2 linked regions of the Saccharomyces cerevisiae S288C genome follow. The protein of the gene in region 1 binds, or shares a complex with, the protein of each later gene. Each region holds a gene or a part of one and is shown on either strand. Other genes may lie near its edges. A codon is read from its position in the direction of its gene.

What was found.
Region 2: the proteins of POP2 (region 1) and CCR4 are in contact, whole or in part, in a crystal structure (PDB 4B8C), measured with the Saccharomyces cerevisiae proteins. Residues at the interface, in NP_014450.3 of Saccharomyces cerevisiae: Thr194 (codon at 2,902), Leu195 (codon at 2,905), Ala196 (codon at 2,908), Arg197 (codon at 2,911), Pro198 (codon at 2,914), Ile199 (codon at 2,917), Gly200 (codon at 2,920), Thr201 (codon at 2,923), Phe202 (codon at 2,926), Arg203 (codon at 2,929), Gln211 (codon at 2,953), Arg214 (codon at 2,962), Ala215 (codon at 2,965), Asp218 (codon at 2,974), Phe219 (codon at 2,977), Asn221 (codon at 2,983), Lys253 (codon at 3,079), Lys254 (codon at 3,082), Glu255 (codon at 3,085), Ile256 (codon at 3,088), Met257 (codon at 3,091), Ser258 (codon at 3,094), Thr259 (codon at 3,097), Leu262 (codon at 3,106), Asn325 (codon at 3,295), Asn326 (codon at 3,298); in NP_009381.1 of Saccharomyces cerevisiae: Asn175 (codon at 2,735), Tyr177 (codon at 2,741), Ala178 (codon at 2,744), Asn181 (codon at 2,753), Asp332 (codon at 3,206), Asp333 (codon at 3,209), Leu335 (codon at 3,215), Trp336 (codon at 3,218), His337 (codon at 3,221), Ala338 (codon at 3,224), Leu339 (codon at 3,227), Asp340 (codon at 3,230), Leu341 (codon at 3,233), Leu344 (codon at 3,242), Gln345 (codon at 3,245), Ile346 (codon at 3,248), Phe347 (codon at 3,251), Asn348 (codon at 3,254), Ile349 (codon at 3,257), Ser350 (codon at 3,260), Asn352 (codon at 3,266), Ile353 (codon at 3,269), Tyr356 (codon at 3,278), Phe358 (codon at 3,284), Tyr363 (codon at 3,299).

The regions. Positions count from the first base shown.
Region 1 is NC_001146.8:719,048-722,969, reverse strand, and holds POP2 (CCR4-NOT core DEDD family RNase subunit POP2), read left to right. Parts: upstream 1-2,322; coding exon 2,323-3,624; downstream 3,625-3,922. Other genes in the region: putative GTPase NOG2, read left to right, coding at 1-667, 1,200-1,850. UniProt on the Saccharomyces cerevisiae protein: Acts as a probably catalytic component of the CCR4-NOT core complex, which in the nucleus seems to be a general transcription factor, and in the cytoplasm the major mRNA deadenylase involved in mRNA turnover.
Region 2 is NC_001133.9:111,650-115,571, reverse strand, and holds the start of CCR4 (CCR4-NOT core exoribonuclease subunit CCR4), read left to right. Parts: upstream 1-2,212; coding exon 2,213-3,922. Other genes in the region: DNA-dependent ATPase FUN30, read right to left, coding at 1-653; ATS1 (Ats1p), read left to right, coding at 957-1,958. UniProt on the Saccharomyces cerevisiae protein: Acts as a catalytic component of the CCR4-NOT core complex, which in the nucleus seems to be a general transcription factor, and in the cytoplasm the major mRNA deadenylase involved in mRNA turnover.

The sequences.
Region 1 (3,922 bases):
CAGGAATAAGAAAGGTAATTTAATTAGGGCCGCTTCTTTCCAGGACTCCACAATACCGGATGCGAGGGTCCAACCAGATCGTCGTTGGTTCGGTAACACAAGAGTGATATCTCAGGACGCACTGCAGCATTTCAGAAGTGCATTGGGTGAAACCCAAAAAGATACATATCAAGTTCTTCTGAGAAGAAATAAGCTTCCCATGTCATTGTTGGAAGAAAAGGACGCAGATGAATCCCCAAAAGCCAGAATTTTGGATACCGAAAGTTATGCTGATGCGTTTGGGCCCAAAGCCCAAAGAAAGAGACCACGTCTTGCTGCATCCAATCTAGAGGACTTGGTCAAGGCTACAAATGAAGACATTACCAAGTATGAGGAAAAGCAAGTCTTAGATGCCACATTAGGACTAATGGGGAACCAGGAAGACAAAGAAAATGGGTGGACCTCCGCAGCAAAAGAAGCTATTTTCAGTAAGGGTCAATCCAAACGTATTTGGAACGAATTATATAAAGTCATCGATTCGTCTGACGTGGTAATACATGTTCTAGATGCAAGGGATCCATTGGGTACCCGTTGTAAGTCCGTGGAAGAGTATATGAAGAAGGAAACACCACACAAGCATTTAATTTATGTTCTTAATAAGTGTGATTTGGTACCTACCTGGGTTGCAGTATGTTAACTTTTTTTTTTTTTTTTTTGATTCTTTCCAACCAAGAGGATAGCACGAGAGATTTTTTTTTTCGATAGAGTATGATTTTTATTACCAAACCTTTTTGTCAGGGTGCTTCTCTATCCGTTTTAGGATAAACTTATCTACAGAAGTGTCTGTTACTGTTTTGGAAGAGTAATACTGTTCGCTTATCCATATTTCCCCGTTCTGGGGAAGCCTCATGGGTAAATTAGAAGGACAACCTTTGTTTTAAAGGTATACCTTCGCTTTTTAGAACAGCGAGGATCTTATGAGTTGAGCTTTTGTTATTTGAGACTTTATCTCGGGCTCCATACAATATGTTCGTAGTAAAGATCCTCACAATTTTCTACTTTTTTTTTTTTTTTAGTTTAATCCACTCTTCGAAACAATCAATCTCGGCTATAACAATGATTATTACATTCTCTTGGGGCAAAAGATTACCTATTATGAAACAAAATGTATTTTTTACTAACAGAAGGTTTTTTTTTTTCAATTCTAACTTTACAAGTAGGCAGCTTGGGTCAAACATTTGTCAAAGGAACGTCCAACTTTGGCGTTTCACGCATCTATTACCAACTCTTTCGGTAAAGGTTCGTTAATTCAGTTGCTACGTCAGTTCTCACAGTTGCATACTGATAGAAAGCAAATATCTGTAGGGTTTATCGGCTATCCAAACACTGGTAAATCGTCCATCATTAACACATTGAGAAAGAAAAAGGTGTGTCAAGTTGCACCAATCCCTGGTGAAACTAAGGTCTGGCAATATATTACTCTTATGAAAAGAATTTTTTTGATTGATTGTCCAGGTATTGTGCCGCCTTCTAGTAAAGACTCCGAAGAAGACATTTTATTCAGAGGTGTTGTCAGAGTCGAACACGTCACACACCCAGAACAATATATTCCAGGTGTTTTAAAACGTTGTCAGGTAAAGCACTTGGAAAGAACTTACGAGATCTCAGGATGGAAGGATGCCACGGAGTTTATTGAAATTCTGGCAAGGAAACAAGGTAGATTACTGAAGGGTGGTGAGCCTGATGAGTCTGGTGTTTCTAAGCAAATATTGAATGATTTTAATAGAGGTAAAATCCCTTGGTTCGTCCTTCCACCTGAAAAGGAAGGGGAAGAAAAACCAAAGAAGAAAGAAGTTGAGAAGACGGCATAGAGGTAAAAACGGACAACCGGTGTATAATATTAATTTAAGATTACAAGTGATTTTTTTTTTCTTTTTTTTTGTTATTTTTTTTTTTGTTCTTATTATATGGCAGCAAACATTCTTGGGGAAACAACATAGATGGGTAATTATTTAGTTTATAAAGTATAATATTCCAATAGAAAACTTAAGTTCGGTAATGATATAGCCCTCTCTATAGTATAAGGTAAATCTCATTATACCAGTCATTCCAAACGGAATTCGGTCCTTACCCGCTGCTCGCTCTTTTTTCATCATTATGATATTTTCTTTATTGAGTCTTTTCAATTATAGTAGTAGAATGATAACTGACAAGAAAGATCAGTTTGAAGTTTATTAGCGTGTCTCGTTATCAGGGCTTCCTTGTTTTTCATACTGGAAATACTTCGAACGATTAGAAACAGGCAACTCAATTTTATACATTTATAAAGGGTCAAAAAGGATTATGCAATCTATGAATGTACAACCGAGGGTATTAGCTGTAGGAGGTGAGCAGTTTTTCTCTCAGAGGCAGGCTTCTGAACAACACCAGCAGCAAAACATGGGACCTCAGGTGTATTCGCCAAAGGTTAATAGAGCAAGAATGTTTCCTCAAGGGATGCCTGTAAATACAATTAATGGCTCTGTTAATCAGGAGATGAACAATGCCTATCTTTTGAAGCAGAAGAACGAGCCACTGTTAACTCAGCAACAACAGCAACAGCAACAACAACAGCAGCCATTTAATATAGGAACGCCTGTTTCGGTGGCTAGTTTGCCGCCCGGACTGAACGTTCTGCAGCAACAACAACAGCAGCAACAACAACAGCAGCAACAGCAGCAGGGAGTGGGACTCAATCGTCCCTTGGCTTCCCAGCTACCCAAGCATTTAACCAACCAAAGTATGCCACCGATCTTTTTACCACCCCCAAATTATCTTTTCGTTCGCGATGTCTGGAAGTCCAACCTTTACAGTGAATTCGCCGTTATAAGACAACTGGTCTCGCAGTATAATCATGTGTCAATCAGTACTGAGTTTGTGGGGACTTTGGCTAGGCCGATCGGCACTTTCAGGTCGAAGGTCGATTACCACTATCAGACAATGAGGGCCAACGTAGACTTCTTAAACCCAATACAACTTGGTCTTTCCTTGAGTGACGCCAACGGCAATAAGCCTGACAACGGTCCCTCAACGTGGCAGTTCAATTTTGAATTTGACCCAAAGAAGGAAATCATGTCCACAGAATCGTTAGAATTACTCAGAAAATCAGGTATCAACTTCGAAAAACACGAAAATTTAGGCATCGATGTATTTGAATTTTCGCAGCTTCTAATGGACTCTGGTTTAATGATGGATGATTCTGTTACTTGGATCACATACCATGCGGCATATGATCTAGGTTTCCTGATCAACATTCTAATGAATGACTCCATGCCCAACAACAAGGAGGATTTCGAGTGGTGGGTCCATCAATACATGCCCAATTTCTACGACTTAAACCTGGTGTATAAAATAATCCAGGAGTTCAAGAACCCTCAATTGCAACAATCTTCACAACAGCAACAGCAGCAGCAATATTCACTAACCACACTTGCCGATGAGTTAGGGCTACCAAGATTCTCTATATTTACTACTACAGGCGGCCAGAGTCTATTGATGCTTCTATCCTTCTGCCAATTGAGCAAGCTGTCTATGCATAAGTTCCCAAACGGTACGGATTTCGCCAAGTACCAAGGTGTCATATACGGTATTGATGGGGACCAATGATCATTTATGTACTATATGTATACACAATTTTAAAAAAAAAAGTTTAAAAGCAACATCAGCTTATGATTGGACATGTAGTAATACAGATTGGTTCTTCGATGCAATAAGCACTCTTCCACAGGAGATTGATGCGTTATTCCCGTATAGTTATCGGTCACGTGCGCTGTAGTTTGTTTAACCATTTATTTTTTCTTGGAAATTTTTTCGTCCAAAGCAGCGAAAAACATCAGGTGGCGATTAATGAAAGAATGACATATTGCAAGCAGCATAACCGTCCATTCCAGGGATAAGAGGAAGT
Region 2 (3,922 bases), on another chromosome or scaffold:
GGATGCTGATCTGCCCTTACCAGCCTTCTCTTTTTGTTGTAGTTCACGGGCAACTTGCTCAGTGCCTCCGAGTCTATATTCAAGTTAGTTGGCAGCTCAAAAGTGTATTGTTTCTGGTTGATGACGTTTGAGTAACGGTCAAAAATGGACGTTTTCTGTTTGGCCACGGTAATCTTGGAGGATTTGTTGTTGATATTGCCATGGATAGATGATAAACGGCCTGTGTTTGCCAGTGGTAATGACTTCTTGACAGGTGGCGGGGTTTCTGACTTCTTGGGAGATGCGTTCTTGTTCCATGTCCAATTTTGTCTTTGCTGCCTCAATCTTGTAAGACGTTCCCTGGCAGACTGTAAGTTAAAAGAGTTAGATTTGAAAACAGCCTGCACCAGAGTTTGAGAGAAATCGGGGAACTCTCTCGCAAGGTTAACCAGTGCTACCTCAGGACTCCCAGATGGGAGCGGCTTCGAAGTATGAGCTCCTTCGCTGGGATCTGAAGGCTTGAAAGTAAACCTGCTTCTCAAAGACGCCACACTTGCATCCGGAACTGTTGGCGAAGTAGGCTTTAAGGGAGACGACGATGCTACCTTGGTGGGAGAGGACGTCTCGGGCACTTGCACTACGTCATCCTCATCATTTGAATGCGAACCACTCATGTTTTCAACTATAGCGTATTTTCTCTCTTTTTCTTGTTTACGTTCCTTACTGTAGATAGTCGGGTGTCCACCAGTAGCAACAAACTCGAATATAGAGCACTATAGCACACGCCAGTACTGATTTAAGTTACGTGTTGCATTGCGAGATGGGCTCATGATCTCTTTTAATCCTACAAAGTGAAAAATTATGAAAAATTTCGCGGCGACGGGGGTAACGCAGCCGTTTGAGCCTTGATAATGCAGGCAGATCCAAAGCGCAAGTGATGGAATGTGATCATTAAAGGCTATAACAGGCTTGTATCGATGAGTTGTGTGTATGCGTTTGGGTCTAATGGGCAAAGGCAACTGGGACTGGGGCACGATGAGGATATGGATACCCCACAGAGGTCTGTGCCAGGAGATGATGGAGCAATAGTCAGGAAGATAGCGTGCGGTGGGAACCACAGCGTGATGCTGACAAATGACGGGAATCTGGTAGGATGTGGAGATAACAGACGGGGAGAACTGGATAGTGCGCAAGCACTGCGGCAGGTGCATGACTGGAGGCCCGTGGAAGTACCGGCACCCGTGGTGGATGTGGCGTGCGGCTGGGACACGACAGTTATTGTGGATGCTGATGGCCGTGTATGGCAGAGAGGAGGCGGTTGCTACGAGTTCACTCAGCAACATGTGCCATTGAATTCCAACGATGAGCGCATCGCAGTATACGGATGTTTCCAGAACTTTGTGGTGGTGCAAGGCACCCGAGTATACGGCTGGGGCAGCAACACAAAGTGTCAATTGCAAGAGCCCAAATCCCGATCACTGAAAGAGCCCGTATTGGTGTACGATACCGGGTCTGTGGCCGTAGACTACGTGGCCATGGGCAAGGACTTCATGGTCATAGTGGACGAGGGCGGCCGCATAGTGCACGCATCCGGTCGCCTGCCCACTGGGTTCGAGCTCAAACAACAGCAAAAAAGACACAATCTAGTGGTACTGTGCATGTGGACCTCGATCCACCTGTGGAATGCGCGCCTCAATACGGTAGAGTCGTTTGGTAGGGGCACACATTCCCAACTCTTCCCGCAAGAGCGCCTAGACTTCCCTATTGTCGGTGTTGCAACCGGGAGTGAGCACGGTATTCTAACTACTGCTAATCAAGAAGGCAAGTCTCACTGTTACAATGTATACTGCTGGGGCTGGGGAGAGCATGGCAACTGCGGCCCGCAAAAGGGCTCCCAGCCTGGACTGCAGCTCGTGGGCCAATACTCTGGAAAACCTCGCGTGTTTGGCGGATGTGCCACCACGTGGATCGTGCTCTAGCACTGATAAGTAACTATATACCCACTATCATATACATAGATGTCCATTCAGCATTAATTCTCATCGTGGTAGATCTCAAAGGTAAAGTAGCCGTTTAGGCCTTTTGTTATCGCCCGTACTTGCGAAAAACGGGCCAACAACGAAAAAATTTGAAAAAGTTTCCACCTTAGAGAAGGTTCTCAAGCACAAGGGCACAGCATAAGGGACACCAGCAAGGGAACTCCGACTGACGTTATCCCTGCAAACTACCGCTAATGAACGACCCTTCTTTACTAGGCTACCCTAATGTGGGCCCGCAGCAGCAACAGCAACAGCAGCAACAGCAGCATGCCGGGCTACTAGGAAAGGGTACACCAAACGCTCTACAGCAGCAGCTACACATGAACCAGCTCACCGGGATACCTCCACCGGGACTCATGAACAACAGCGATGTACACACTTCCAGCAACAACAACTCGCGCCAGTTGCTCGACCAATTGGCTAATGGGAACGCGAACATGCTCAATATGAACATGGATAACAACAATAACAACAATAACAACAACAACAACAACAACAACAACGGCGGTGGAAGCGGGGTGATGATGAATGCCTCCACAGCCGCAGTAAATTCTATAGGGATGGTTCCTACCGTTGGTACGCCTGTGAACATCAATGTGAACGCCAGTAACCCTTTATTACACCCGCACTTGGATGACCCTTCTTTACTAAACAATCCGATCTGGAAGCTTCAATTGCATCTGGCTGCAGTGTCCGCACAATCTCTGGGGCAACCCAACATTTATGCTAGACAAAACGCTATGAAGAAGTATTTGGCTACACAACAGGCTCAGCAAGCTCAGCAACAAGCGCAGCAACAGGCACAGCAGCAGGTCCCGGGCCCATTTGGCCCCGGACCTCAGGCTGCACCACCAGCTTTGCAGCCCACCGATTTCCAGCAATCTCACATTGCAGAAGCCTCCAAATCACTGGTAGACTGCACAAAGCAAGCCTTGATGGAAATGGCCGACACTCTCACCGACAGCAAGACAGCAAAGAAACAACAACCTACGGGAGATAGCACTCCCTCAGGCACGGCAACTAACAGTGCAGTTTCTACACCATTGACTCCCAAGATAGAGCTGTTTGCTAATGGCAAGGACGAAGCCAACCAGGCGCTCTTACAACACAAGAAACTGTCTCAGTACAGCATCGACGAAGATGACGACATTGAAAACAGAATGGTCATGCCCAAGGACTCGAAATACGACGACCAATTATGGCACGCGCTAGATTTGTCCAACTTGCAAATCTTCAATATCAGCGCCAACATCTTCAAGTACGATTTTCTAACGAGACTATATTTGAATGGCAATAGCCTCACGGAACTGCCAGCGGAGATCAAGAACCTAAGCAACCTACGCGTTTTGGACCTGTCGCATAATAGGTTAACATCTCTACCAGCGGAACTAGGCTCATGTTTCCAATTGAAATACTTCTACTTTTTTGATAACATGGTCACCACATTACCATGGGAGTTTGGGAACCTGTGTAACCTTCAGTTTCTTGGTGTAGAAGGAAACCCCTTAGAAAAACAGTTTTTAAAGATCCTTACAGAAAAATCTGTCACGGGATTGATTTTCTACCTAAGGGACAACAGACCAGAGATTCCCTTACCGCATGAACGTAGGTTCATCGAAATCAATACCGATGGGGAACCACAGAGGGAGTACGATTCTTTGCAGCAATCCACTGAGCATCTGGCCACCGATTTAGCCAAGAGGACGTTCACCGTCTTATCCTACAACACCTTATGTCAACACTATGCCACCCCAAAAATGTACCGTTACACACCGTCGTGGGCGTTAAGTTGGGATTACAGGCGCAATAAATTAAAGGAGCAGATTCTCTCGTACGACAGTGATCTGTTGTGTTTACAAGAAGTGGAGTCTAAGACTTTTGAAGAGTATTGGGTGCCCCTATTG